2 linked regions of the Lonchura striata genome follow. The protein of the gene in region 2 purifies or fractionates together with the protein of the main gene of each other region. This does not show direct contact. Links are inferred from orthologs where the notes say so. Each region holds a gene or a part of one and is shown on either strand. Other genes may lie near its edges.

Region 1 (14,644 bases), on a different chromosome or scaffold from region 2:
ATTATATCAAAATCACAGAATATCCTGAGTTGGAAAGGATCCACAAAGATCACCGAGTCCAACTCCTGGCTCTGCACAGGACTTTGGACAAGGGCTGGAGGGACAGGACAAGGGGGAACAGCTTCCCACTGCCAGAGGCAGGGATGGATGGGAGATTGGGAGTTAGGAATTCCTGGCTGGAAGGGTGGGCAGGCCCTGGCACAGGGTGCCCAGAGCTGCTGTGGGTGCCCCTGGATCCCTGGCAGTGCCCAAGGCCAGGCTGGGAGCAGCCTGGGACAGTGGAAGGTGTCGCTGCCTGGCAGGGGTGGAACTGGATGATTTTTAAAATCCCTTCCAACCCAAACCAATCTGGGATATTATGAATCTCCTTCAAAAAACAAATCCAGAAGAATTTGCATCCTTGTACTGATTTATTCTACTTCTCTTTTCCAGATATTTTCCTTCAGAGAAAAAAGAAAATTACATGAGAATGCACCTTGCAAAGCCTATCCTTAGTCATGTGAACTTTTTCAGACAATAAATTTCTTTTCTTGCAGCTCCCATTTTTACCTCTTGCAGGAGGCACTGACAGCTGGAAGCTAAAAAGGAGCACAACACCTTCTCATCCTCCTTTGCACTGCCACTATCCTGCAGATCCTTTTAATGAGAAGCCCATTACCTTGCCTGAGGTTCCCTGAACAATAAGGGGGAAAACCCTTCAAAAAGAAGCCCAAGACTCCCCTCCATCATTTCTGCATCCTAATGAGCAGCACAAATGGATCTTTAAGCAGTAAAACACAGCAGCCAATTTCCCAATCAATTCACAGTGGCTTTGAGGGATCACAGAGGCATCAAGTCCAACAGGTCTCCAGGTTCTCCCCTCATGCCCACAAAATGATCCTGCAGCAAATAAAGGTTTCTAAGCAGTGAATTCCAGAGGACAGAATGATGCTCTGTTCCATAAGAGGATTTTGCTCCCATGCTGAAATGCCAAAGCCCCACTGACACAGCAGAGTTCTCCAACCTTTCCACAATAATTAGAAACACAAACCACCCCCTGTCTTTAAGCAGAAAATGTGTGGTCAGAAAGCAGAGTGTGAGCAGCAGCAGAGGGAACGACTGCAGCCAGAGCTGCACTGCAGCTGCCCTGGCAGCATTTGTCACTGGTGGGGGACAGATCCACAGGCAGCTGTGATGTGGGCACTGACCTCAAACACCCACACCAGCTCTGCAGGTGGCTCTGTGCACAAACCTTCCCCAAACAAAGCACATTTCAGCTCAGGGCACACATGAGAGCCAAGGGAAACCCCACACTGAAATGCTTTGATTTGGGATAAACCTTTGTTCCTTTGCAAAGGTGAGAGCACAGAGGAGCTGCAGACAGAACCTCCCTGGACCCCAGCTGCACACACAGAACCCTCCCTGGATCCCAGCTGCACACACAGAACCCTCCCTGGACCCCAGCTGCACACACAGACCCTCCCTGGATCCCAGCTGCACACACAGAACCTCCCTGGATCCCAGCTGCACACACAGAACCCTCCCTGGATCCCAGCTGCACACACAGAACCCTCCCTGGATCTGAGCTGCACACACAGACCCTCCCTGGACCCCAGCTGCACACACAGAACCTTCCCTGGATCCCAGCTGCACACACAGAACCTCCCTGGATCTGAGCTGCACACACAAAACCCTCCCTGGATCCCAGCTGCACACACAGAACCTCCCTGGATCCCAGCTGCACACACAGAACCTCCCTGGACCCCAGCTGCACACACAGAACCTCCCTGGATCCCAGCTGCACACACAGACCCTCCCTGGACCCCAGCTGCACACACAGACCCTCCCTGGACCCCAGCTGCACACACAGAACCTCCCTGGATCCCAGCTGCACACACAAAACCTCCCTGGATCTGAGCTGCACACACAGAACCTCCCTGGATCTGAGCTGCACACACAGAACCTCCCTGGATCCCAGCTGCACGCACAGAACCTCCCTGGATCCCAGCTGCACACACAGACCCTCCCTGGATCCCAGCTGCACACACAGAACCTCCCTGGACCCCAGCTGCACACACAGAACCTCCCTGGATCCCAGCTGCACACACAGACCCTCCCTGGATCTGAGCTGCACACACAGAACCTCCCTGGATCCCAGCTGCAGACACAGAACCTTCCCTGGATCTGAGCTGCACACACAGACCCTCCCTGGATCCCAGCTGCAGACACAGAACCTTCCCTGGATCCCAGCTGCAGACACAAAACCCTCCCTGGATCCCAGCTGCACACACAGAACCTCCCTGGACCCCAGCTGCACACACAGACCCTCCCTGGATCCCAGCTGCACACACAGAACCTCCCTGGATCCCAGCTGCACACACAGAACCTTCCCTGGATCTGAGCTGCACACACAGAACCTCCCTGGACCCCAGCTGCACACACAGACCCTCCCTGGATCCCAGCTGCATGCACAGAACCTTCCCTGGATCTGAGCTGCACACACAGACCCTCCCTGGATCCCAGCTGCACACACAGACCCTCCCTGGATCTGAGCTGCACACACAGAACCCTCCCTGGATCCCAGCTAAAACCCCTCCCAAACTACCTTGGAAAGAGTTTTCAGAGACAACAAATAACTGCTTTGGGACAGCCCATTTTAATATGAGGGATTATTGAGAAAGGAACTGCCTGAACAATGCACAATGTCCTAGATAAATGAGCATTGAGATAATAAAAAGAGAATTGCCCAGTTTACTTCTACACTGTGAATTTCTAAGTTACTATGGTGACATCAAGGTGTCCATTACAGCCTTTCCAAATTACTTTGAACAAGGGATCGAGGGACAGGACACAGGGAATGGCTTCCCACTGCCAGAAGGCAGGGATGGGTGGGATATTGGGAAGGAATTCCTGCCCGGGAGGGTGGGCAGGCCCTGGCACAGGGTGCCCAGAGCAGCTGTGGCTGCCCCTGGATCCCTGGCAGTGTCATGGACAGGGCTGGGAGCAGCCTGGGACAGTGGAAGGTGTCCCTGCCATGGCAGGGGGTGGAATTGGATGGGCTTTAAGGCCCCTTCCCACCCAAACCATTCCAGGATCTGTGACTTTGTTCCATGTAAGTCTCTCAGATGCCCCAGGACTCCAAACCCACGGCATGAGCCCATTCCCAGCTCTCAGGGAAGCAAGGCTCCACCATCCCTACTGCACCCGTACTGCCTGGGATGGGGCTGGCCACCTCCTGCATCCCTTCATGCACAGAACACCACAAACCCACTTCCAGACACTCCACACACAAACTGGGAGCAGGAGGGAGCCTGGAATAAATCTGCTCAGTACAATACCAATAATTTAATTTTCTATCATTGTCTTTGGTGCCTGTCAATGAGTTTTTCAAGGTCCAGTGTGAGTCTTCCACACTACTACTGAAACCTCCTTTGCTCTAAATTGTACTCTGAAGATACAGAGAGCTCCTCCACAGCTGTTGTACTCTAGAAACACAGAGAACTCTTCAATATTTAAGTCTTGTCTAATCCAGAGACAAAATGAGCAGCTCTGTAAATGCAACTCTCCAACCCTCCCTGCCCCTCAGGACCTCTGGATCCCTGACTGAGCTCGGTGGTGCTCTGGGATTATCTCCAGCTGGTCCCCAGTGTCCCTGGAGCTGGACACACCAACTGCTGCTGACAGCTTCACCACTGAGATGTACAAACATCTATTTTTAAGAGTATAGACTGGACAAAAGCCAGTTAAAATCACCACGTACTTCTCTGGGAGGAGCCACGCACCTACAGCAGGATGAAAACAGAACAAGTTGAACCAGAGTCCATTTCCAGCACATCCAAAAGGGAGCCAGCCCTTCCCTCCTGGAGTGTTAAGGCTTGATCCTTGAGCACTAGTATCAGTTTTCTTGTTTCCTCAAACCAAAATTACTTTTCATTTTTTAAAAGGATCGTCACAGCAACATTCCAAAACTCACTCACCCTGTAAAGTCTCCTTAGCCCAACTCTAATTACCTTTCAGATTCGCGAGAAATAAATACCTATTTTAGATAACCAGTTTGAAAGGAGGGGCTTTCCCTTGGCTCCCATTGCTGCACCACACAGAGCCAGCACAGAGCCAGCCTGGCCGGGGATTTCGAGCCACAGCAAATCCTTTCCGTGCTCAGCAGGGCACCTGGGCCCTTCCCGGAGCAGCGATTTCCCGGGATCATCCCGGGGCTGCTCGGCCAGGGCAGGGAAAGGCGAAACCACAGCTGCTCCAGGGCGTGGGACAGCACAGAACCGCAAGCGGAACAAGCCAAACTGCACGAGTATTCCGTAACATTTCCCCGTCAACACAAAGAGCTCGAGCGGCCGCTGCAAACGGCGCCCCACGCCCCGAGCCCAGCTGGAAGGACTGGAAAAACACACCCGAGCCCGGGCGGCTCCCACCCCAGGGCGCTGCAGCTCGGATTCCCAGGTCGGATCGCCCTTCTCGGATTCTCCGCCTCACAAAGAAGCCAAGCGCCAGCCGGGGCTGCTCCAGGGGCGGTGACAGCGGGGCTGCCCCAACCCGGGGAACGGCGGCGAGGAGGCGGGCCGGGGCCGCGCGGCTTCCCCGGGCACCGCCGCGCGGCGGAGCCGCTGCCAAGCCACGCCGGCCATCCCCCCCGGCTGCGGACCGAAATGGAGTTAGAAAGTCAGCACGCTTTAAAATTAAAACGCATAAAGAAAGCGAAGCAGCCGGGGCGTGCGAGGAGGAAGAGGAGCCCGCGGGCAGCAACGACGCTGCCGCAAGCGAGCCCGGGGCACGGCGCGGGGTTCAGCGCGGCTCCCAAAGCTCCCGCTGCGGTTTCCTCCCTTTGCCCAGCACTGCCGGCACCGCCGGGGCGCGGCTGAAGCGAAACCCGGCGGGGCCGGGACCTGCCCGCGCAGGAAAGTCGCTGCCGGGGCGAGCGGGCACCGGCCGGGCCCCGCGGGCAGCGGGGACGTCCCGGGGCCAGCGGGGCTGCCCCAAGCGCGGCCCCGGGCACCGGCCGGCGCCGAGGGAACGGAAATGTGCCCGGCGCTGCCGCCGAGCCGGCCCCGCGCCCGCCGCGGCTCACAAAGAGCGGAGCAAAGCTGCGGCCCCCCCCCGTCCCGTCCGCCGCCCGCCCGGTGCCCTCCGCCCCCGCCGGGCCGCACCTTCTTGTAGTGCTTCCCCAGCCACACGCGGACCGAGTCGAGCTGGGACACGGTGTCGGGGCTCTCCCAGAACTTGCCGGCAGGGCCGCCGTCCTTGCGGCGCGCCGCGGCCAGCGCGGGGCCGGGCCCGCCCGCCGGGGCCGCCGCGGGGCCGCTCCCGGGGCCTCCGCCCGCCGCCAGCGCCGCCGCCGCCATTGTCCCCGCGCGCCCCGCGCCGCGCATGCGCCGCGCCCGCGCCCCGCCCACCCCGGCAGCGCGCCCGCCGCCGGAGCGGGAGCGCGCTCGGGGACGCGCTCGGGGGGTCGGAACGGGAGCGCGCCCTCGGCACCGGCAAGGGGGTGCTCCGGGCCCCGAACTCCCCGTCCGTGCCCTCGGTACCTCTCTGGTCTGCTCAGGCCCCGCCTGGAGACCCCGAGCCCCAATTAAGGAGTAAATTGGGTGCTGACATAATTACCTGCAGGTGTCTGCACCAAGTCTTCACTGTTTGGGTGCCTTTATCTTTCCACAACCAGAGCCCTGGAACGGGTCATTATGAAGCAATTCCCCCCAATTTTCCTTTATAGAAACCACTTAGTTTTGAGTGTCTAGTAATGTTTTATTTGTGAATTGAACATAACAGAGAAAAAATTTAACAAACCAAAACCATGATAAACCATTTAAAAATACATATTTTAGTTCCAACATTATTAAATAGAGCACCAAGAGGTCCTTCATTAAAATCACAATCCCCAGTATAAAACTGTCCCTTGCATTTACAGTAGTTTGTAAATGTTCCTCGTCCCTGAACACTCCAAAGCAGAAATAAACACCTGCAGGAAAGGAAACCTCTGGAGATACAGGGAACAATAAACCCAGCAAACATCCTGCAATCTGAACTTCACCATTTCAGAACTGCCATTCTCAAAAGGCAGCACAATGAGCCCAGCCAACAATTCCAGAGGGTCTGTCTTGGGAGAGCCATAAAATCTCATCCCATCGCATCCCTGATTCCAGAGGGTCTGGCTTGGGAGAGCCATAAAATTTCATCCCATCGCAGCCCTGCCGTGGCGGGGACACGGAGCACTCGCTCCCTTCCCCTGTCCCGGCTGCTCCAGCCCCAATGGGACACTGGCCTGGGACACTGCCGGGGATCCAGGGGCAGCCACGGGTGCTCTGAGCAGCTCCCCGGTTGGGATCGGGATCGGGGCTGGTCCTTCCCCAGGATCGGGATCGGGGCCGGGATCAGGATCAGGGCCGGGATCGGGGCTGGGATCGGGATTGGGGCCGGGATCGGGATCGGGATCAGGACTGGGGCCAGGGCCGGGGCCAGGATCGGGGCTGGGATTGGGATCGGGGCTGGGATCAGGATCGGGGCCAGGATCGGGACCGGGATTGGGATCGGGGCTAGGATTAGGATTGGGGCTGGGATCAGGGCTGGCCAGGTCCATCCCCGGGATCGGAATCGGGGCCGGGGCCGGGATTGGAGCTGGGATCGGGATTGGGGCCAGGATCGGGGCTGGCACGGTCCATCCCCGGGATTGGGATCAGGGCCGGAATCGGGATCGGGATTGGGGCCGGGATCGGGGCTGGGATCGGGATCAGGGCCGGGGCCGGCCGGGTCCATCACCAGGATTGGGATCAGGGCCGGGATCGGGATTGGGGCCGGGATCGTGACCGGTGCCGGGATCGGGGCTGGCCGGGTCCATCCCCGGGATCAGGATCGGAATCGGGATCGGGGCCGGGATCGGGACCGGGATCGGGATCGGGATCGGGCCTCAGACCGGGATCGGGACCAGGACCGGGACCGGGACCGGGATCGGGCCTCAGACCGAACGGGTCCCACGGCGGGGCCGAGGCTACAGCGCCCCCAGAGGCCGCGCCGCCCATTGGCTCTGCCGTTGCCATGGGAACAACCCTCGCCGCCCATTGGCTCTGCCGTTGCCATGGGGACATCCCTCACCGCCCATTGGCTGTGCCGTTGCCATGGGGACAGACCCCGCCCCGCGCCCACGAGGGGCATCGCGCCGCGGCGCCGCCGGCCGCGGGGAACGCGCGGGCCGCCTCAGTTCCGGGGAGAGCGGAAGTGAAGTGCGCCGCGCCGGAAGCGCGCGCGGGTGCTGCCGGGAGCTGTAGTCCCGAGGGGCGGCCCGGCGGCGGCAGTCGCGGTGCGGAGGTCGGTGCTGGGCGGGCGGGGGTCGGACCGCGACCCCTGCGGAGAACCGGGGGGGCCGCGGGGGCGGCACGGCGGCGGGAGGCGGGGGACGAGCGGGGGATGGCGCCGAGCAGCGCGGGCTGAGGCGGGGAGGGCCGTGCGGGGCCGCGGCCTGTGCGGGCGGGGCGGCGCGGGCGGGGATGCTCGGCGGCACCGGGGATGCTCGGCGGCCCCGGGGATGCTCGGGAGGCCTCGGGGATGCTCGGGGAGGCTCCGGGGCACCGCTCCCCGCGGGCCCTGGGCGAGGGGTCGGCGGGGGGAGCCCCGGGAAGCGGCCGCGGAGCGCGGCTGTGCCCGGAGCTCCGTCCCTGCCCGGGGCAGGCTCCGCTCCGCTCCGCTCGGAGCTGCTCTGCCGCTGCCCTTCCCGCTCCCGCCTCTCCGCGCCCGCCTGCGGCTCGTCCCCGCCGGCCCCGTGGAGCCCCGGGGCCGCGGGAAGGGTCGCTCCGGGTCAGCGGTTTGGCCCCGGCGCCCGGGGCCGCTCGGAGCCCGGTGCCACCGGCAGCGCGTCCTTGCCGCCGCTCAGCAGCGAGGGTCCTGCGGGGCTGGCCGGGAGGAAAGGATTCCTGTAGGGAAAGGTTTCCTGCAGCCCTCCGCCGCTCCTTCGGCCCAAAGCACGGAAAGTACAGGATAAATCACGGCTGCGAGCGGCGGGCTGGCGCTGCCCGGAGCCCGGGCAGGCAATCCTTGGGCTGGATGTGCCGACAGCAGGATTTCTCCTTTGTTCTCCTCACAAAGCACTCGGGGCTCTGCCCCTTCCAACACCGCTGGACTATCCCAGCAGCCAATAATCGGAATTGCTGTGATTTTCCCTGCGTCTCTCTCGGCGATGTGGTTTTTCCTCATGTAGTTGTTTTCCAGTGGATCAAGGGACCCCAGCAATTCCTTCCCATCCTTTGGGATTTTATCTGACAATGTTCCGTGCCGCTTTGCCTGGTTTCACTCTTTGCCTTCGCAGCAGGAGCACTGAGTCTGTTCCTAACAAACTTTTAGTGTTTCTTGTGCCACTCGGGGCTCTGGAGTTTGCTGGGTGTGAGGCACAGGGCTCCACACTCCTGTGGATTCTCATTCCAGCTGTGCCATTGCCTGTCCAGGCCATTTCTTCACAAATCCAGTGTCCTCGGAGCTCCCACATCTCTCCTGTCATCAGACAAAATCCATTTTGAGTCTTGCAGTATCCCTTTCCATCTCTGTGTTTCCCTGCGGGCTGGAGCAGCTGCCACAGTTGGACACTTATTATTTGGGATTAGGATCTGCAGGAGCAAACCCTGGGATTTCCCCCAGGCTGCTGGATGTGCTAAAAGTGATTCCCAGGTTGCGCTCCTGCTGTCCAGATTCAGCAGATCCTTTATTCTCCTCCCTGTCCTGCCCCACTCCCACCCAGTCTGATTCTTACTGGTTCCCAGTAAGGCTCCCAGCCCAGCTGGGATCTGCAGCCAGGATCCTACCAACAGCTGGGTTGGAATCTTGCTTATCCAAGGGGATCTCAGTTGTTCACCTTGGAGCCTCATCCCCGGAGGGTTCTCCATTTTTTATTTCTTTGTTCTTGAGCAGAAAAGACCACTCTCATCAACTTTGTATTGCATTTACCCTTTTGGGTTGGAAGAGAGTGTAAGGATCATCCAGCAAGGCCGTGGTCAGGCTGTTCCCAATGTCCAGCTTGGTCTTGGACACTTCAGGGATGCAGGGAACACCCACAGCTTCTCTGGGAATTACATCCCAGCCCCTCCCCACCCTCCCAGCCAGCAATTGCTTCCCAATCTCCCATCCATCCCTGCCCTCTCTCAGCTCAAAGGCATTTTTGGAAGAACCCTTTTCCCCACCCCAGCATGGCTGGGGCATTCCTTGTTCCTGCTCCCTGAATTCCCACTAGGGAACGCTGCAGTTTACCTGCCCATCCTGTCCCAGGAGCTGAGGGAGGGATTCCCTGGATGATTCCCTGGGGTACCCCCAAAAACAGCTGCCCCTCTTTGGTCAGAATGTGCAGGGGGATGTGGCCAGTGCCCTGGGAGATGCATTCCCTGCAGCATTCCCTGTCCCACTCCTGGTTTCCTCTCTGCAGCACTTCTGGAGCATTCAGGGATTGGCTCCTTTCTGTCAGAGCAATACTGGACTCACCCAACTCATCAAAATCCCCTTGGCTTTAGGGCAGTTTAAGCCAGGCTGGGGTGATCCCCATGGAAGGGGACACAGGCTCCAGCCTTGGCAATCTGGCTCCAGAACCACAAAAAACCTCCCCGACTTTGTTCCCTGCAGTGATTTATCACACCAGGGACATTCCCCTCTGAGAATCACCACAGCACACGTGGGGTTGAATTCTTGCCAAGTCAATTAATCTGGTTTTATTGATTTCATCCTTGGAAAAGGCCAGGTGTGGCCCTGGCAGCCAGGGCAGGTTGGTATCCGTGTGTCCGTGGGGAGGAACCCATGGACCATGGACAAGGTGTCACATCCAGAGATGTGGCCAGAAAATGGGCTGGGTTTATTTGAAGCCTTTTTTTTTTTTTGCTACTGAAGTAATTTTGTCTTACTGAAAGCAGAAGTGAATAATTGGAATGATAATTGCAGGCTATTAATTGCATGCTCAGGAAGTCATTGATGGGGACAGTCAATGTCCATAGAATCCCAGAATATCCTGCCTTGGAAGGGATCCACCAGGATCATGCAAGTTCAGCTCCAAACTAACTTTGTGTGTAAATAATGACCTTCACTCCTCACCCATCTGACCTGAGTTTATAGAAAAGCCTTGTTACTGTTTCCAAGAATCCCTACAGTGTATTTAACACTTGGCATGACAGATAAAACACCCCAAAACAAAGTTGGTTTTCTTAACTGAGTGAAAGTTATTTTAGTAAGAAAATAAATAGGAAGTTTAACACAGTTTCAGTAAAGAACATTATCAAAATTACAGTTCTCTTTCTTCTCCTGGTTTTTTTGGTTTTCATTTAAAGGGAATAATGGCAACAATCTACTTCACCTTGGCCTAAAAGGCTTTTAAAAACCCCTCATTTTCACCACTGAGCCAAAGCAGAAGCACCTGAAACATTTTAAAGGAACTACCAATTCTAACTTGCAGTTTCTTTGTGCTCCCTCCTGCTGTCCCAGGAACCCACCCTTCCCGCTGGGATGGAGATGTTCTCGCTGAATTCCCTCAAAGGTAAGAGCTGGCACAGCCTGGGGCTGCACTGGGGATTGTCCTGAGCTCGGAGGGGGAAGCTGGAGCAGGTGGCTGAGGAGGAGGAGGAGTTCACTGGGTGAGGAAGGAGCTCAGTGTGGCAGCAGAGCTGGCCCAGGAGGGACAGGACAGGATTTCAGGGAAGCAGAGGAGCCCTGCAGTGTTATCCAGAGACATTGGACACTTGCTTGCTGTTCAGCTTCAAGCACAGGTTTTTTCCCTTTTAATTTTGTCCTCCTAAATATTCCTGTATCCCTCAGTACCTACTCCACGAGCTCTTTATCCTTGGGATTTGATCCTGTAATACCTGTCACTGTCACCATGGCTCTTTTCCCTGCCATTGCTTTGCCAGCCTTCCTTTCAATCATATTTTGTCCTCAGAAATCCCTCCAGTCACCATTTTCTGCTTTAACTTGTGGATCTTTCCTGAGCTCTGTTACTTGGTCTTAAAGAGAGTGGATAGAATGGACTAAAATATTCCCGCTCTGGCTGAGGCAGAGGGAGCCTGCCTCCATCCCAGGGAATTCATCCTTTCCCCTGGCACTCAGGACACGCAGCAGTGACCCCACCACTCCTGTCACTGCCCTGCTCTGAGCCACCAGCACTGGGGCTGCTGGATTTACCCTAAAAATCCCAGAATTCTTCCCAGCCCGGGGCAGGAATTGTGTACAGAGTGCCTTCAGCTGGGAACAAAGCCCCTCTCCTCCACCAAATCCTGTCAGTGGGGTTGGAGTTGGGTGGAGAGACGGAATTTCCTGGTGAGGGCTGGTGGTTTGTCACAGCCAGGCTGGGTTTGGGACTCGGGATGCTCCAGCCCTGGGGATGAAGGAATTCCTGAATGACCCGTGGCTCCTTAAGGAGCTGCTGCCCCTGCACAGGCTTGGCTGGAGGGGCAGGTCCAGCCCAGCTCATCCAGGAGCTGCCAAAGCTGGGAGATGGCTCTGGAGACCCTGCCTGTGCTGGCTAACGCTGCTCTCTGCAAAATAAAGATACCTGGAATCGGCGACCTCTGGAATTTTTTAATAAATTGAGTCTTCACCGCTCTTTCTGTGCCCACAAGATAATTTTTTATATCATTTTTGGTGACAAACCACCAGCCCTCCTCACCCCTGACTGTCCCTGCACACTGGGACTGCCTGTCAGCCTCTTCCCCCAGCTTTTCCAGTCTCCTGTCTGTGTGTTTCCAAGATTTCCCCAGCTTTTCCAGCCCCTTCCTGTGTGTTTCCAGGATTTCCCCAACTTTTCCAGCCCCTTTCTGTGTGTTTCCAAGATTTCCCCAGCTTTTCCAGCCCCCTTCCTGTGTTTCCAAGATTTCCCCGACTTTTCCAGCCCCTTCCTGTGTGTTTCCATGATTTCCCCAACTTTTCCAGCACCCTGTCTGTGTGTTTCCAAGGTTTCCCCAGCTTTTCCAGCCCCCTGCCTGGATGCTTCCATAATTTCCCCAACTTTTTCAGGCTCTTCCTGTGTGTTTCTGAGGTTTTCCCAACTTATCCAGCCCCCTGCCTGTATTTCCAAGTTTTTTTCCAGCTTTTCCAGCCCCCTGCCTGTGTGTTTCCAAGGTTTTCCCAGGTTTTCCAACCGCCTGTCTGTGTTTCCAATATTTCCCCAACTTTTCCAGCCCCTTCCTGTGTGTTTTTGAGGTTTTCCCAGCTTTTCCAGCCCCCTGCCCATGTTTCTCCAAGATTTTCCCAGCTTTTCCAACCCCCTGTCTGTGTTTCCAAGCTTTTTCCCAGCTTTTCCAGCCCCCTGCCTGTATTTCCGAGGCTTTCCAGCCTCCCTTTCCTTCCAGTCCTCCCTGAAGCTTTTGCTTCCAAACCCACCTCAGTTTATTCCTGAATAAAAAGTAAAAATTATGGTAAAACAGTAAAAACAATAGTTTTTACTGTGCAACGTGCTGTCACAAGATTAACACAGGATTAATTCCCTTAAATGGAATGAGTTGTTTTCCTTTTTAGGGGTCTGGGTGATCTTTGGACGATTTTTGAATGAACAATCAGTTTTGAATGATTTTTCCCGATTTTAGTGGACCAATCTCTTAAAATTTGTGGTCCAAGTGCCAGAATAACTTAATGTATTTCAAAAAAGAAAAAAAAAGGTGGGTTTTTTTTGTCATCTGGTGCCGATTCAGGATCTGGGTTTGTGTCTCCACTTGTTGGGTTTGTTTTTTAGTAAAAGAACTTACAAAGACAAATCAGCAGCTAATTCAGAGGTTCTAAAAAGGGAATACATGAGAAGGCAAACTTGGTGTAATATGACTTTTTTGAGTGTTGAACTCTTCTAAAAAGTTGGGTTGTTTTTTTTTTTTCCCCTTTTTCTTAGTTTTTTTTTTCCTTTTTCCTAAGGGGTTTTATTTGATTACTTTATTCATCTTGAACCTCTTCTCATGGAGCCCAGGCTTTGTAAAACTGAGCTGTGCCATTGTATTAGTCAATATTTTTTACCTTATTGAAGATTTCTCTTTCTGATTTAAAGAAAAAATCAGAAAAAAACCAAAAATAAGCAAACCCTCCTGAAAAACTTTTAAAAACCCCTTTTGCATCATGGTGCTTAACCAGCCATTCATGTTAATTTTCACTTTACACACAAAATACTCAATAATAAAGTTTTTGACATAGAAATGAGACCCTGGTTTAAAGAAACGCAAAACTTAATGGTAGTCCCAGTACAGCCAGGGCTAATGGAGATTAATTGCTTAGGAAAACAAAAAATCAGATTTAAATAAATAATCCTGTAGGGTCAGAATTTCATTCGGCTCTAGAGCCTTAAGAATTCTAGACCTGGATATGAAATAATTAATGTAGAACTAATTATTAAATAATGAGTAACAGGAGACTCGGAGTTGTGGGGAAGAGCTGACTTATTTCATGAAGATTCTAAGATCTTTAAGATTTTCATTTTTGATTGTGTAGATTTAAGACTCGGTAAAAATTTAAGTTTTTAAGTTCCTTAAAAGACTTCTTTTAAAGCTTATGAAGATTTTGATTTTTTCAGTGTGTATCTCAAATATTAGCAAACGACGGGCTGCAGGAGCAGCTGGATTTTGGGGATACGCACTTGACCGTGAGGGTGGGACAGTGGCTCTGGGCACCGCGGTGCTCCTGGGCTGGAATTCCCGGTGTTCCCTGGCCGTTATTCCCGGTGTCCCCATGGCTGGAATTCCCGGTGTTCCCTGGCCGTTATTCCCGGTGTTCCCCGGTGTCCCCATGGCTGGAATTCCCGGTGTTCCCTGGCCCTGATTCCCGGTGTTCCCCGGTGTCCCCATGGCTGGAATTCCCGGTGTTCCCTGGCCCTGATTCCCGGTGCTCCCCGGTGTCCCCATGGCTGGAATTCCCGGTGTTCCCTGGCCCTGATTCCCGGTGCTCCCCGGTGTCCCCATGGCTGGAATTCCCGGTGTTCCCTGGCCATTATTCCCGGTGTTCCCCGGTGTCCCCATGGCTGGAATTCCCGGTGCTCCCCGGCCGTTATTCCCGGTGTTCCCCGGACGTGATTCCCGGTGTCCCCATGGCCGTGATTCCTGGTGCTCCTGGGCTGGAATTCCCGGTGTTCCCTGGCCCTGATTCCCGGTGTTCCCCGGTGTCCCCATGGCTGGAATTCCCGGTGTCCCCATGGCCCTGATTCCCGGTGTTCCCCGGTGTCCCCATGGCTGGAATTCCCGGTGTCCCCATGGCTGGAATTCCCGGTGTTCCCTGGCGTTATTCCCGGTGCTCCTCGGCCTCGATTCCCGGTGTCCCACGGCTGGAATTCCCGGTGTTCCTATGGCCCTGATTCCCGGTGTTCCCCGGCCACTATCCCCGCTGTCTCTATGGCTGGAATTCCCGGTGTTCCCATGGCCCTGATTCCCGATGCTCCCCGGCCGGACTTCCCGGTGTTCCCCGTCCACGATTCCCGGTTCTCCCCGGCCGGAATTCCCGGTGTCCCTATGGCTGGCTGGAATTCCCGGCGCTCCCCATGGCCGCTATCCCCGGAGTCCCTATGGCCGCGATTCCCGGTGCTCCTCGGCTGTTATCCCCGGTGTCCCTATGGCTGGAATTCCCGGTGTTCTCCCACCGCAGTTCCCGGTGCCGCACGGCCCAGGAGCCCCGGAGCGCGGCCCAGCGGAGCCCCGGAGCGCGGCGGGTCCGGGAGCGCGGCGGCCCCGGAGCC
Region 2 (14,916 bases):
GTGCTGGCCTCCACGGCGTAGATCTTGCGCGCCCCGGCCTGCGCCGCGAAGAAGGAGAGGATCCCCGAGCCGCAGCCCACGTCCAGCACGATCTGGGAAAGGTTTGGGGGCAGCTGGGATCCTCCAGGAGCCCCCCAGGCCCGGATCCCAGCGGATCCCCGGGGATCAGGGCAGGCAAAACCGCGCCGAGCCCGCGTTTGGGCTGGTGTTTGATCCTGTGTTTGATCCTGCATTTAATCCCGTGTTTGATCCTGCATTTAATCTTACATTTGATCCTGTGTTTGTTCCGTGTTTGATTCTGTGTTTGATCCTGTGTTTGTTCCATGTTTGATCCCGTGTTTGATCCCATGTTTGACCCTGTGTTTGATCCTGCATTTAATCACGTGTTTGATCCCGTGTTTGGGCTGGTGTTTGATCCTGCATTTAAACCTTTGATCCTGCATTTAATCCTGTGTTTGATCCTGTGTTTGTTCCGTGTTTGACCCTGTGTTTGATCCCACATTTAATCCCGTGTTTGATCCTGTGTTTGTTCCGTGTTTCATTCTGTGTTTGATCCTGCATTTAATCCCGTGTTTAATCCCATGTTTGATCCTGTGCTTGATCCTGCATTTAATCCCGTGTTTGATTCCGTGTTTGATCCTGTCTTTGATCCTGCATTTTAATCCCATGTTTGATCCTACATTTGATCCTGTGTTTGGTCATGTGTTTGATCCTGCATTTAATCCCGTGTTTGATCTTGTGTTTGATCCCATGTTTGATCCTGCATTTAATCCCCTGTTTGATCCCATGTTTGAGTCTGTGTTTGATCCTGCATTTAATCCCACATTTGACCCTGTGTTTGATCCCATGTTTAATCCTGTGTTTGACCCCATATTTGATCCCGTGTTCGATGTATGATCCCATATTTGATCCTGCATTTGACCCTGTGCTTTATGCCATATTTGATCCTGCATTTGATCCCATTTTTGATCCCGTGTTCGATCCCAGTTTTGATCTGCATTTGATCCCATTTTTGATCCACATTTGATCCTGTGTTTGAATGCCACATTTGACCCACATTTAATCCTGTGTTTTATCCCATATTTGATCCTGCATTTGAACCCCTTTTTTTGATCCCAGTTTTGATCTGTGTTTGATCCTGATTTTGATCCTGTGGTTTATCCCACATTTATCCCATATTGATCCTGGTTTTGATCTGTGCTCGATCCCATTTTTGATCCCATTTTAACGCGCGTGGGAACGGCAGCAGTGGGGCTGGCCCACACCCCTGGCCAGCTGTGCTCCCCAAGGATGGGAAAAACAACCCAATTTCCAGCTCTGGGACAAAGCTGTGCTGCTGGAGCTGGAGCCAAACCCCAAAATCTGGCTGGTTTGTCCCAAAAGCGAGCAAGGCTTCCCAAAAAAACAGGGCAAGTTCTCCAAAAGGTGAGACGGGATTCCCACCTGAATCCAAGCTGGATCCTGCCCAAAACCCAGCCAGATTCCTCAAAAAAGCAGACAGATTCCCCCTAAAATCCAGCCAGATTCCCCCAAAACCCAGCCAGGTATTCCCCCTAAAACCCAGCCAGATCTCCCCAAAAACGGAACCAGATCTCCCCAAAACCCAAGCCAGGCTTCCCTCCTTAAGCCAGTCTCGACAAAAACCCAGTCAGACCCCCCAAAACACACCGGGTTCCCCCCAAAACGAGCTGAACCCCCCGAAAAATGGCAGACCTTGTCCTTGAAGTCGCTGTGGTTCTGCAGGATCGCCCGCTGGTACGTCCCCGTGCGCACGTAGTCCTGCATCATGTTCTGCTGCTGCGACAGGTACCCGTAGAACTGCCAGACACACGGACAGCCCGTCAGCCCGGGATCCTGGCTGGGTGCTCCCCCCAAAACCCGGCCAGATTCCCCCCAAAACAAAGCCAGGTATCCCCAAAACACAGCCAGATTCCCTCCAAAACCCGGCCAGATTCTCCCCAAAACAAAGCCAGACTCCCCCCAAAACCCGGCCAGACTCCCCACAAAACCCGGCCAGATTCTCCCCAAAACAAAGCCAGCTATGCCCAAAACACAGCCAGATTCCCCCCAAAACCCGGCCAGATTCCCCCCAAAACAAAGCCAGCTATCCCCAAAACCCGGCCAGATTCCCCCCAAAACAAAGCCAGCTATCCCCAAAACCCAGCCAGATTCCCTCCAAAACCCGGCCAGACTCCCCCCAAAACCCGGCCAGATTCTCCCCAAAACAAAGCCAGATTCCCTCCAAATCCCGGCCAGACTCCCCACAAAACCCGGCCAGATTCTCCCCAAAACAAAGCCAGCTATCCCCAAAACCCGGCCAGACTCCCCCCAAAACCCGGCCACGTATCCCCAAAAAAGCAGACAGATCTCTCCAAACCCAGCCAGATTTCCCCAAAATCCAACCAGGTATCCCCAAACCCAGCCAGATTCCCCCCCCAAAACCCGGCCAGATTCTCCCCCCAAAACCTGGCCAGATTCCCCCCAAAACCCGGCCACGTATCCCCAAAAAAGCAGCCAGATCTCCCCAAACCCAGCCAGATCTCCCCAAAACACAGCCAGGTATTCCCCACAAAACCCAGCCAGATTCTCCCAAAAACCCAGCCAGATTCTCCCCAAACCCAGCCAGATCTCCCCAAAACCCGGCCAGATTCTCCCCAAAACCCAACCAGATTCTCCCCAAACCCAGCCAGATCTCTCCAAAATCCAGCCAGATCTCCCCAAACCCAGCCAAATCTCCCCAAAACCCGGCCAGATTCTCCCCAAACCCAGACAGATTCTCCCCAAAACCCGGCCAGGTGTGCCCCCAAAACCCGGCCAGGTGTGCCCCCAAAACTCGGCCAGATCTCCCCAGACCCAGCCAGATCTCCCCAGACCCAGCCAGATCTCCCCAGACCCAGCCAGATTCTCCCCAGACCCAGCCAGATCTCCCCAAAACCCAACCAGATCTCCCCAGACCCAGCCAGATCTCCCCAAAACCCAACCAGATCTCCCCAGACCCAACCAGATTCTCCCCAGACCCAGCCAGATCTCCCCAAACCCAGCCAGATCTCCCCAAACCCAGCCAGATCTCCCCAAACCCAGCCAAATCTCCCCAAAACCCGGCCAGATTCTCCCCAAACCCAACCAGATTCTCCCCAAACCCAACCAGATTCTCCCCAAACCCAACCAGATCTCCCCAAACCCAACCAGATCTCCCCAAACCCAACCAGATCTCCCCAAACCCAACCAGATTCTCCCCAAACCCAGCCAGAATCCCCCCCCAGCCCCGGGAATTCCCACCTGGAAGTACTGCACGGCCGAGGACTCCTCGGTGCGCTCGCTGAACACCGAGCGCTCCGTGTTGTGTCCCCGGCAGTTCTTCAGGATGTTGTAAAAAGAGCAGAAATCTGGGAAAAATACAAAACAACCCAAAGGGGGGGGTTGGGGGTTATTGGGGGATCCCCGGGGAGCTGGGGGGGATGCAGGGGGGCTGCGCACCGGTGGGGGTCCCGAATTGCAGCAGCACGCTGTTGCAGCCCAGGGTGATGATGAAGGATTGCTTCCCCACCCGGCTGCACTCCGTCTCGCGGGACACGGAGCACTTGAACACGCAGACATCCTCGTCTGGGGGAAAAAAAGGGGATTTGGGGGAAAAATGGGGGGGAAATGGGAATGGAGGGGGGAAAAGGGGGATTGTGGGGGGAAAAAGGGGGAAAAAACAGGAATGGAGAGGGGAAAATGGGGAATGGAGTGAAGAAACAGGGAATTGGGGGGCAGAAATGGGAATGGGGGGAAATGGGGAATGGGGGGAAAAACGGGGAAAAATGAGAATGTAAGGGGAAAAAAGAGGGGGGGAATGAGAATAGAGGGGGAAGAAAGAGGGAATTGGGTGGAAAAAACAGGAATGAGGGGAAAAATGGGAATGGGTGGGAAAAATGGGGAGAGGGAAAAATAGGGAATTGGGGGGAAAACAGGAATGGGGGGGAAAAACAGGGAATGGAAGGGGAAAAGCAGGAATGAGGGGAAGGGGAGCACCGGGAATGGGGAGGGGGAAGGGAGAACGGGGCGGGCACGGAGGGAAAATGGGGTGGAATGAAAGGAAACGGGGAGGGGACAGAGAGAAAAGCGAGGTGAGCGCCAGGCCAGGCCCCCGCCCGGTCCCGGTTCCGAACCCTCCCAACAGAGCGGGATAAAGCACAATTAACCTAATTAACCTCTAATTACAGCGCGGGGGGGGGGGGCTCCTAAAGCACGGCCCGGTGTTGGGGGGGGGCAGCCGGAATTCCCGAAAGAAATGAGGATTTGGGGTCAGGGAAGAGGATGGAGGGGCTGGGATCGCCCCAGGAGTTGGGAAGTGCCCCGGGAGCCATCCCGGGAGTCAGCCCCGTTCCCCCGGAACCGGCCCGGGGACCGGGAGCCATCCCGGGAGGCACCCCCGGAGCTCCCGGCCGCTCTCACGCCGGAAAAACCGACCCAGCCGCTTCCCAAAAAAATAAAATAAAAATCCCGGTTTCCCCCCCTCCCCTCCCCACACCTCCCGGGGGTCCTTCCCACGCCGCGGGAAGTTGCGGGAGGGACCGGGAGCGGCGGGTTTCCACCGGGAGCACCGGGAGCGGGAGCCCCGGCGGCCGCGGCTCTTTGTGGGCGATGAAAGGACCGGCAGATGCTCCGCCCGGACCACCCGGAGCCCCCCGGCCCGGCACACAAAGGCAGCTCCGGAACGGCGGCCGCAGGCTCCGGGGGCAGCTCCGGTTCTCCCGGCACCGGGAGGAGCCGCGGGCTCGGCGGCCGTGCCTCAGTTTCCCTCCCCACCCCCTCAGCATCGGTGTCAAAGCCGGCGAAGCCGCGCGTTAATTATTCCCGCCGGCTCATTATTCCCGCCGGTTCATTAATTATTCCCGGCGGTTAACGAGCGCCCCGTTAGCACCGAGGGGAGGGGGCCGGGGGTCGCTCCCCACCACCCCCCGGTAGCCGCGGGAATCCCGGCGGGCGCCGAGTTCGGGGGGAGAAAATAAATAAAGAGGAGTTTAAAAAAAGCCCCAAAGCAGGGGAAGAGCCGGGACCGTGCGCCGAGACAAAGAGCGGAGCCGGTGCCGCCGCCGCCTCCCGTGGCCCCGGAACCGGGGCGGGGGTACCGGGAAGGTCACGGAATCGGGGCCGTTTCGGGTAAAAGCGGGCAGGAGCGGGGGGGATGGGAATCAACTTTCCGCAGCCTCCGGGAAACGCCGGGGGACGGGAACGGGAACGGGGACGGGGACAGAAACGGGGACACGGGCGGGGGGCACGGGGGAACCGGGACCCCCCCCCAGCCCGAGCTGCCCCCGAGCCCCCCCGAGCTGACGGACACTTAAAGCCCCCCCAAAACCCTTCTCCGGACCCCTCCCCAAACCAGCCCAGCCCCCCCGAGCCCCAAATCCCCCAAACCCCCCCAGCCCCCAACCCACCCCCCAGACCCACGCGCCCCCTCCCCACCGACCCCCCCATCCCCACGGACCCCCCAGGGACCCCCCCCAGCTCCCCACAGCTCCTGCCCGACCCCCCCCATCCCCCCCGTCCCCGGAGACCCCTCGGGGCCTCCTCAGGGCCCCTCCCCCATCCCCTCAGAGCCCCTCACGCCTTCGCCCGCCCCGCTCGGGCCGCGCTCCCGGGCGCACTCACGGCCGTAGAGGGCGATGGCGGCGCTGTCGGGGCCGGTGCGGACCTCGAGGCGCAGCGGCTGCTGCTCCTGGTGCCGCTGGATCTCCCCGTTCGCGTCCCCGACCGTGAGGAGCCGCACGCCGGGGAACACCGACACCGCGGCCATCTTGGACCGCGCCGCGCCCCGCCCACGCGGGGCCACGCCCCCCGACCCGGCCGGGACACGCCCACAGCGGCCGGGACACGCCCACAGCGGCCGGGACACGCCCACAGCGGCCGGGACACGCCCACAGCGGCCGGGACACGCCCACACTGACCGGGACACGCCCACACCGGCCGGGACACGCCCACAGCGGCCGGAACACGCCCACCGCCACCCGGGACACGCCCACACCGACCCTGGGCACGCCCACAGCTGCCGGGACACGCCCACCGCCACCCGGGACACGCCCACACTGACCCGGGACACGCCCACAGCGACCGGGACACGCCCACACTGACCCGGGACACGCCCACAGCGACCGGGACACGCCCAGCGCCACCCGGGACACGCCCACACCGGCCGGGACACGCTCACACTGACCCGGGACACGCCCACACTGACCCGGGACACGCCCACAGTGGCCGGGACACGCCCACACCGGCCGGGACACGCCCACACTGACCCGGGACACGCCCACAGCGGCCGGGACACGCCCACACTGACCCGGGACACGCCCACCGGCACCCGGGACACGCCCACACCGGCCGGGACACGCCCACCGCCACCCGGGACACGCCCACAGCGGCCGGGACACGCCCACACCGGCCGGGACACGCCCACAGCGGCCGGGACACGCCCACAGCGGCCGGGACACGCCCACAGCGGCCGGGACACGCCCACCGCCAACCGGGACACGCCCACACCGACCGAAACACGCCCACACCGACCCGGGACACGCCCACACCGACCGGGACACGCCCACAAAAAAGGCAGCGGGCGGGGCTGGTGCGCCCCCTGGCGGGCGGGAGGGCAACGGGACACCGGGAATGGGAACGGGGCTGCGGGAATGGGCATCGGGAATGGGAACGGTGTACCGGGAATGGGAACGGGATACCGGGAATTGGAACGGGGCACCGGGAACGGGGCACCGGGAATGGGAACGGGATACCGGGAATGGGAACGGGGCACCGGGAACAGGAACGGGGCACCGGGAATGGGACAGCGGGAACGGGAACGGGGCAGCGGGAATGGGCACCGGGAATGGGAACGGGACACCGGGAATGGGAACGGTGTACGGGGAATGGGAACGGGATACCGGGAATTGGAACGGGGCACCGGGAACGGGGCACCGGGAACGGGGCACCGGGAATGGGAACGGGATACCGGGAATGGGAACGGGGCACCGGGAACGGGGCAACGGGAATGGGAACGGGGCAACGGGACACCGGGACACCGGGAATGGGAACGGGACACCGGGAACGGGAACGGGGAACAGGGAATGGGAACGGGATACCGGGAATTGGAACGGGGCACTGGGAACGGGGCACCGGGAACGGGACACCGGGAATGGGAACGGGGCACCGAGAACGGGACAGCGGGACACTGGGAATGGGACAGTGGTAACGGGAACGGGGCACCGGGAACGGGACAGCGGGAATGGGCACCGGGAATGGGAACGGGACAGCGGGACAGGACAGCGGGAATGGGGAATGGAACGGGACACCAGGAATGGGGCACCAGTACCGGGACACCGGGAAGGTGGCGGCGCTGGAGACGAACACCTTTATTGGCACCATCGAGTCCGGTGGAGCACCGGCAGCACCGGAGGCGGCGGGATCCTCCCGGAGGGCTCCCGGTAACCGGATCCAGGGCCAGCCTCGATCCGTGGGGACGCCGGGAGGCGCTCCCGGCTCCGTGTCCTCACCGGGAACTAGGAGGGGCAACCGGGACCCCCGGGACGCCTCACCGGGACAGCGGGAGGGACGCGGGGGTGGATTTTGGGGGGACACGCGTGGGCTGGAGGGGGCTGCGGTGGGTTTGGAGGGCACGGGGGGTCCGGACTTACCGGGAATTCCCGGTTCTGAACCCCCAAAATTCCCGGTTCTAAACCCTTGGAATCCCCGGTTTTGAACCCCCAAAATTCCCGGTTCTAAACCCCCGGAATTCCCGGTTCTAAACCCCCAAAATTCCCGGTTCTAAACCCCCGGAATTCCCGGTTCTGGACCCCCGAATTTCCCGGTTCTGGACCCCCGAATTTCCCGGTTCTGAACCCTCGGAATTCCCAGTTCTAAACCCTTGGAATTCCCGGTTCTAAACCCTCGGAATTCGCGGTTCTGAACCCCTAGAATTCCCAGTTCTGAACTCCCGGAATTCCCGGTTCTGAACCCCCGGAATTCCCGGTTCCGTACTACCATTATTATTGCTATCATCCCCACTATCCCTTTTTTATTGCCATTATTCCCACTATCATTCCCACTATTCCTATCACTTTTATTCCCATTATTCCCATTATTCCCGCTATCATTCCCGCTAGTCCCACCACTTTTATTCCCCTTATTCTCTTTATTCCCGCTATTATTATCACCACTATTCCTATATTTTTTACTCTCCTTATCCCTGCTATCCCCGCCATCACTCCCCCTCTTCCTATCACTTTTATTCCCATTATTCTCGCTATTATTTTATGCCGCGCTCCCGCCCCGGTTCCCTTTGTCTCAGCCCCGGCTAGCTCTTGTGGGGCGAGGGCGGGCGATGGAGGCACCCTCCGCCGCTCCCAGCTGGGGTTTGGAGAGTGCCTTTGTGGGTTCCGGGCAGCGCTAGCAAGCCTCGCGGTGGTAAATGAAGAGCGGATCCTGCTGGGGGCTAAGTCCGAGTTTATTGTAGCCCAACGGGGCTAAATATCCTAGAACGGTGCCAGCCAACAAGAACAAGCACAAGGTGCTTGCACTGGCTTATAAACTGTAAGGGAGGGGTATCCAACGACCAATGGGGATAGGGATAGGGGGTGGCTCCGGGATGGGGGGATATGGTGGGGTCCAATGGGGGAAGGATATGGGGGGAGCCCCAGGTCCTCGCCCAATCACCCGGTGCCCTGAGTAGAAGCTTCTGGATGGATGGGAAGGGGCACCGAGTGATAGACAAGGCACCCGGGGGGGGTAAAATGCCTCTTTCAGGGTGATGGATAGATACTGGGAAGGCGGGAAGGGCGGACAAGGCGGGAAAACTGGGGATAAACCAAGTTGCACACGGGGGTACAAAGGAATAAACCAATACATAATACAGGGATAATAAAACATATACATAACGCAACTCCACATCTCCTCCTTTTTTTGTTTAAAAAGAAAGAAAGGTGAAGAGGATAAAGTAAGTCTTTAAACGGGGTCTTCACAGTCACTGGGCTCATTTTGAAACTAGATGTTTCCTTTTTCTGGAAATTCTTCTTTTTGAAACCCTTCTTTGTTCAAGGGTTTCAGTTCATCACTATGTTAAAGCTTGTAAGAAACACAATGAGTCCCAGCAGCAGCAAAAGTCCTGTTTCTTTAGAAAGCAACTGAAATTAATAGTCGAGGTAGGGGAGGTCTAACTCAAAGGGGAACAGAGAATTTCCGGAGCCAGGGAGGGAAGAGGGGGGATCAGGTGAGGGGGACTTTTTCCGCCGTCGGAGGGCGGCGTACCCAACTTGAGGACTGTCCGGTTTTCTCTTCTGGGTCTTAGGGACATATGGTCTGACGAATTTGGAAGGGACCCATCTCAGGCCTGAGGGCGTGGATACGCAAGCGTACCCCCGTCCCCAGGTGACCAAGTCATAGGGTCCCTCCTGTCGCCAGGTCTCAGGGTTTTTAATGAGAACTGGCGGCTTTTCCCTGACCTTGCTCTGCTCGTAGGAATTAAAGTGCCTCGCGATGGGGGGGTTGAGGCACTCGAAAGAACAGTTTAAGAAATTGATGGTAAAAAGGGCCCGCGCTAACTGAACCTGGGGGGACTCATTTTTAGCTGACGACTGTTGTTGTTTAAGCATCCTTTTGATGCTTTGATGAGTCCTCTCTACCACGGCTTGACCTGTCGGGGAATAGGCGATGCCAGTTTTATGTTCTATTCCCCATTGCTGCAGGAAGCCTGCGAATTCCTTGGATGTGTACCCGGGGGCATTGTCTGTTTTTATCTGTTTTGGGACGCCTAGCATGGAGAAGGCTTGTATCAGGTGTTTCTCTACTTCCTTGGCCTTCTCCCCTGTGTGGGCAGAGGCGAAAACTGCTCCAGAGAAGGTGTCTACGGAGACATGGACGTACTTCATCCTCCCGAAGGAGGGGATATGAGTAACGTCCATCTGCCACACCTCACAGGACTTCAGACCCCTAGGGTTAGCCCCTGCGCTCACTGATGGTAGTGGGAGCGACTTACAGGACGGGCATGTGGCCACAATGGCCTTGGCCTGGTCCCGGGTTAGATGGAACTGCCGGACCAGACCAGGCGCATTTTGATGGTAAAGCTGGTGGCTTATTTTGGCTTGCTGGAACTTGTCCGGGAGCGGCGCCAGCTGTGCGGGGGCGGCAGCGAGGGAATCGGCACGCCAATTGCCCTCGGCCAAGAACCCCGGCAGGTCGGTGTGTGACCTGATATGCATCACATAAAACGGTTGCTCTCGGTGGGAGACTAGCCTTATCAGCTTAGAGAGCAACCTGTTAAGGGCATCGTTGGAGACACCTTGCAGGATTGCATCCTGTGCTCTAGACACTACACCTGCTACATAGGCCGAATCAGTTACCAAATTAAAAGGTTCAGAGAACCGCTCAAAAGCTCTAACGACTGCGGCCAACTCAGCTACTTGAGGGGATCCTTCTACTTCAACAACATCTGCCTCCCACTGCTGAGTTTGAGGATCTTTCCAAGTCACTACTGACTTGTGGGACCCTCCGGACGCGTCCGTAAAAACTGTTAGAGCCTTTAAGGGTTTTTTGCTCTGAATTTGTTTTGTTGACAGAGTGAATTGGATTTCGGAATTGAAAATTTTGTGGGCCGGTCTCAAAACAGAAATTTTTCCGGTGTAGCTGTCCAGTGCAAACTGCAATGATTCATTCTCTTGCAGCAGGTGTTCTAACATTGCCTTTGTGAATTGGCCCGATTCTAATTTCAAAGGAATGTGGATGTGATCAAAGTCACACCCCGCCAGCTCCCGAATCCGCGTTCTCGCTTTGCGGATTAGCTCTGCCACCAGCTCTTGTGGCCGTGTCAACCTTTTGGATCGTGAATGACTCAGGAATACCCACTCTATGATGGAGAGTGGGTCCCTTTTGTCCTTATCCTTGCCCTTTCCTAGGGTGTCTGCCCATTGGAAGATGACACTGTGGAGGTGTGGCAGTCTGCCCAATATGATGAATTTGAAGGGCAGGCCCGGATCACACCTATGGGCCTGCCTGGCAGACATTGCCTCCTGAACCTTCTGCAAAGTGGCTTTGGCCTCTGGAGTGAGTTCCCTGGGAGAACTAGGCTCTTCCCCCCCTTTCAATAAATTGAAAAGAGGGGCTAGGTCTTCGTTGTTAATACCTAACCAGGGTCTCACCCAGTTTAAAGACCCACACAGCTGCTGCACGTCGGCTAGAGTCCGAATTGAATTTTTTATGGCCAATTTCTGCGGAACAATGGTCCGCTTGTTTATCTCCAAACCCAGGTACTTCCAAGGTGGCATTCTTTGAATCTTATCCTCTCGCAGCTCGAACCCTACAGCAACCAACGCACTGGTTGTCAGTTCAAGCGCGTGTGTAAGTAGATCGCTGTTGGGGGCACAAATAAGAATATCATCCATATAGTGCTGGATGATCACGCCCTCGGTGGCTGCACGCACAGGGGACAGCAATGAAGAGACGTACCACTGGCAAATGCTTGGGCTGACTTTCATGCCTTGGGGAAGAACTTTCCAGTGGTATCTCTCCATTGGGGCTTCTCGGTTGATGGAAGGAACCGAGAAGGCGAACCGTGGTGCGTCATCAGGGTGTAGGGGAATTTGGAAAAAACAATTTTTGATGTCAATGACAGCTAATTCCCAATTTTCTGGTAACATCGTGGGGGACGGCATCCCTGGCTGGAGAGGACCCATGTCTTCTATTACATTGTTGATGGCGCGAAGGTCATGAAGGAGGCGCCACTCGTCTTTGCCAGGTTTTTTTAGGACAAAGACAGGGGAATTCCAGGGGGATGTTGTTTCCTGGATATTCCCTTTGGCAAGTTGCTCCTTCACGAGCTCCCGAAGCGCTTTTAATTTCTGTTTATTGAGCGGCCACTGCTCTACCCACACTGGTGTATCTGTGAGCCAATTAAGTTTTCGGGTAGGACGCTCTTCAGTGACTGTTGCCCGAAAAACCTGGGGGGTCGGGATGTTAATTGTGACCCCCCACTGGGCCATCAGGTCTCTCCCCCATAAGGGTTCTGTGTAATCTAATACGAACGGGCGTAAATAGGCCGATTGTCCGTTCGGCCCCTCAAATTTTACGATGTTTTTTGATTGCTTTGCCAATTGAGAACCCCCTACACTTTGAATTTTCCCTGCCACGTTTTGCAATTCCCAGCGTGACGGCCAATCCCGTTCGGGAATGACTGTTACGTCTGCTCCTGTATCTAGGAGACCGCTTAGGTGTTTGTACTCCCCATCCTTCCGCATATAGTAGGAGAGCTTTGGTCTTTCCTTCCCTATGACCTGGGCCTGGCACACCTGGTAGCTCTTCTTCGCTGATTTCTTCCATAGATCCTCAGGGTGTGCCGGAGGCCCAGATGCTGGAATGGCTTGGGCGATGATTTGGCCCTTGGGAAGGAAGACTGGAGGATGGGGGCAGTGCAGCCACACCACTAATCGCTCGGTGTTCCTGGATGTCAGGGATGGTGCAATAGTGACTTCGAGAGGCGTGAATTTTGTGTCCCCAAGAACGATGTACTTACTGTGGAGGTTCCTCCAGGTTCCTGGGTCCTCTGTGTCGACAGCGATGGAGTGCCAGTCGCTGTCCCTTAGGTGCAGAGCTTCAGTCAGGGCCAACCTATATGGGGAGAAACCAGATACGATGTTAAGTATCGGCTTGGGCTGGTTCGGGCCTCGACCCAGCCAAGCAGTGGGAATGAAATCCACATCTTCTCTCATATAGGCTGGTTTGTCAGCCATAATCTGGTGTGTCAAGTCCAGTGAAATGTCCTCAGGTGGGCATTGCAGGTAGTCGTCCCTCCCCTCCTCTGATGTTATAGAACCCACCATATTTATGTCCTCGCGCAGGGAGGGACTGCGCTGATGACTCAGTTTTTTTGTTTTCCCCCCGAGTTGGGGGCACTCTTTTCTTGTCGCTGTTGTTTAAACCTAAAAAACTCGTCCCTCAGCGGGCATTGGGAAGCCCAATGTCCCTTCTGCCTACATAGATTGCAGGCCTGATGGTGCTGTTGTCCCCTCGGGGGTGCTCCTGTAGGGCGGCGATCTGGAGAAGGGGTGGCTGGCGGTGTCACGGCTTCAACGAAGGCTACTCTCTTTGTTGGTGGTTTAGGAGTCTCTGGAATGTCTTTAGCAGGAACTGTCACCTTCTTCGCACAGACTTGTAGCATGCTTTGAAGGGTAGGCTCAGGGTCCAGGGGCAGACTGAGGATTGCTTGCCGGCACGCGTCGTTAGCGTTCTGCCTCGCAACTGTGGCAAGCATCCCCTCTCGCAGCCTCTCGTCCGGGACCTGAGCCTCCATCGCGTGATGCAAGCGATCCACGAACGCGACAAAAGGTTCTAGGGATTCCTGCTTTAGGGACAAGAAGTTAATAACCGTACCGCTGGGTCTTAACTTAAAAAACGCCTTTTCTGCTGCCCTAGTGCTGACTTGCAGCGCCTCTCTGGGGATTTTTTCCGCCTGCTTGGTCCCCATTTTCCAATCTCCCTCCCCGCACAAGTGGTCTAGCGATATTACAGCCCCATCTTCATCCCTAGAGCTATCTGCATTGGCCCAGAGGTCAGGTAACACCTCTCTGATCTCCCGCTTCCACTCGGACTCCCAGATGAGGAATTCTCCGTGGGTAATTAAACAGGAGAAGAGAGTTCGCATGTCTGCTGGGACATATTCTTTGGAGGAGAGGGTTGCTTTTAATAAGCCTCGGAAGTATTCGCTTTCCATCCCGAACCCCTTCTTGGCCTTGCAGAGCTCTTTGATGGTCTGCTGGGGGATGGGGGACCACTGTGCAAGGGGCCTACCCCCCTGCCGCGGGGTACAGGTGACAGGTGCGGCCGAGAAGGCAGGTAGGGACTGGGGTGGATTGGGGTTCCCACGCTCCCCCCCCCCGGAACCGAAAGCGTGGGAACTGGAAGTGGGGTCGTGGGAACCAGGGGACGAGGCGTGGTCTGGAGCAGGGGGAGTGGTATGGTGGGGACTCCCCTCCCCGGGGGTGGAGCTGAGGGGTGGGGTGTTGAATAATTCAAGAGAGGGGGAGTTGACGGGGGGTGGAGGAGGGATGTGGGCGGAGAAATCCGGGGAGCAGAAGGGGTTGGTCTGCCGGAAGGGATTATGGGAGGGGGGAGGACAGGGATCATGGGAAGAAGGAGCACGAGTGGCGGGAAAACCCACGCGGTCACCTCCATCTTGTGTCCTGGGGAAGGGGGGAGAAGGGGAGCCATTTTGGGGGGTTCGGGGATGGTGGATGGGGGATGAGGGATCTTCGGGGGTTTGGGATAACTGAAAACGAACGGAGTCTGTACGGGACGGGGCTGTACAGCGCGGGGAAGAAGGGGAACGGGTAGAAGCAGAGACAGTGCCTGCACCGCTCTGCGGGGTGTCTAGGGTATTCTCAGAGGGGCCAGAATCTGCCTGCGGGCAATGCCGGGATGCCTGTCTGATAATACCCGACTTCGGGAGAGAGGGAGAGTTTTGCCGCAGTTTTCCCGCAGCGCCCGCCGCAGCCGCAGCCGCGGGAGCAGCGACAGCAGCCGCCCCGTGCCCTGCCGCAGCCGTGGGAGCAGCGACAGCAGCCGCCCCGCGCTCTGCCGCAGCCGCAGCCTCGGGAGCAGCGACAGCAGCCGCCCCGTGCCCTGCCGCAGCCGCAGCCTCGGGAGCAGCGACAGCAGCCGCCCCGCGCTCTGCCGCAGCGGCGGCTGCCGCATCGTACTGCAGCGACCGGGCTGAGGGACAGGGAAGCGGAGTAGGGTTATATGAACTACCCGCCGAACTGGGGATCGGTTTGTTTGCGGCTGGCAGTGGCAGACTTTCGTAGCGATATTTAATTATATCGCGAATTTGGAGAGCCAAATGGGTGAATATGGAGAGAGAGAGATCTGACTGTCGCAGGATCTTCCCCGCTACCTGTTCCCAAA

The links.
Region 1: the proteins of CARM1 (region 2) and SMARCC1 purify together in Homo sapiens (affinity purification with western blotting; 3 studies listed by BioGRID and IntAct, with this or other methods). This does not show direct contact. The link is inferred for Lonchura striata from reciprocal best matches to the Homo sapiens genes CARM1 and SMARCC1.

What each region holds. Positions count from the first base shown.
Region 1 is NC_134603.1:156,470,704-156,485,347, reverse strand, and holds the start of SMARCC1 (SWI/SNF complex subunit SMARCC1), read right to left. Parts: upstream 5,385-14,644; 5' UTR 5,361-5,384; coding exon 5,139-5,360; intron 1-5,138. UniProt on the Homo sapiens protein: Involved in transcriptional activation and repression of select genes by chromatin remodeling (alteration of DNA-nucleosome topology).
Region 2 is NC_134623.1:1,180,294-1,195,209, reverse strand, and holds the start of CARM1 (histone-arginine methyltransferase CARM1), read right to left. Parts: upstream 5,793-14,916; 5' UTR 5,783-5,792; coding exon 5,638-5,782; intron 3,604-5,637; coding exon 3,478-3,603; intron 3,387-3,477; coding exon 3,280-3,386; intron 1,819-3,279; coding exon 1,714-1,818; intron 93-1,713; coding exon 1-92. UniProt on the Homo sapiens protein: Methylates (mono- and asymmetric dimethylation) the guanidino nitrogens of arginyl residues in several proteins involved in DNA packaging, transcription regulation, pre-mRNA splicing, and mRNA stability.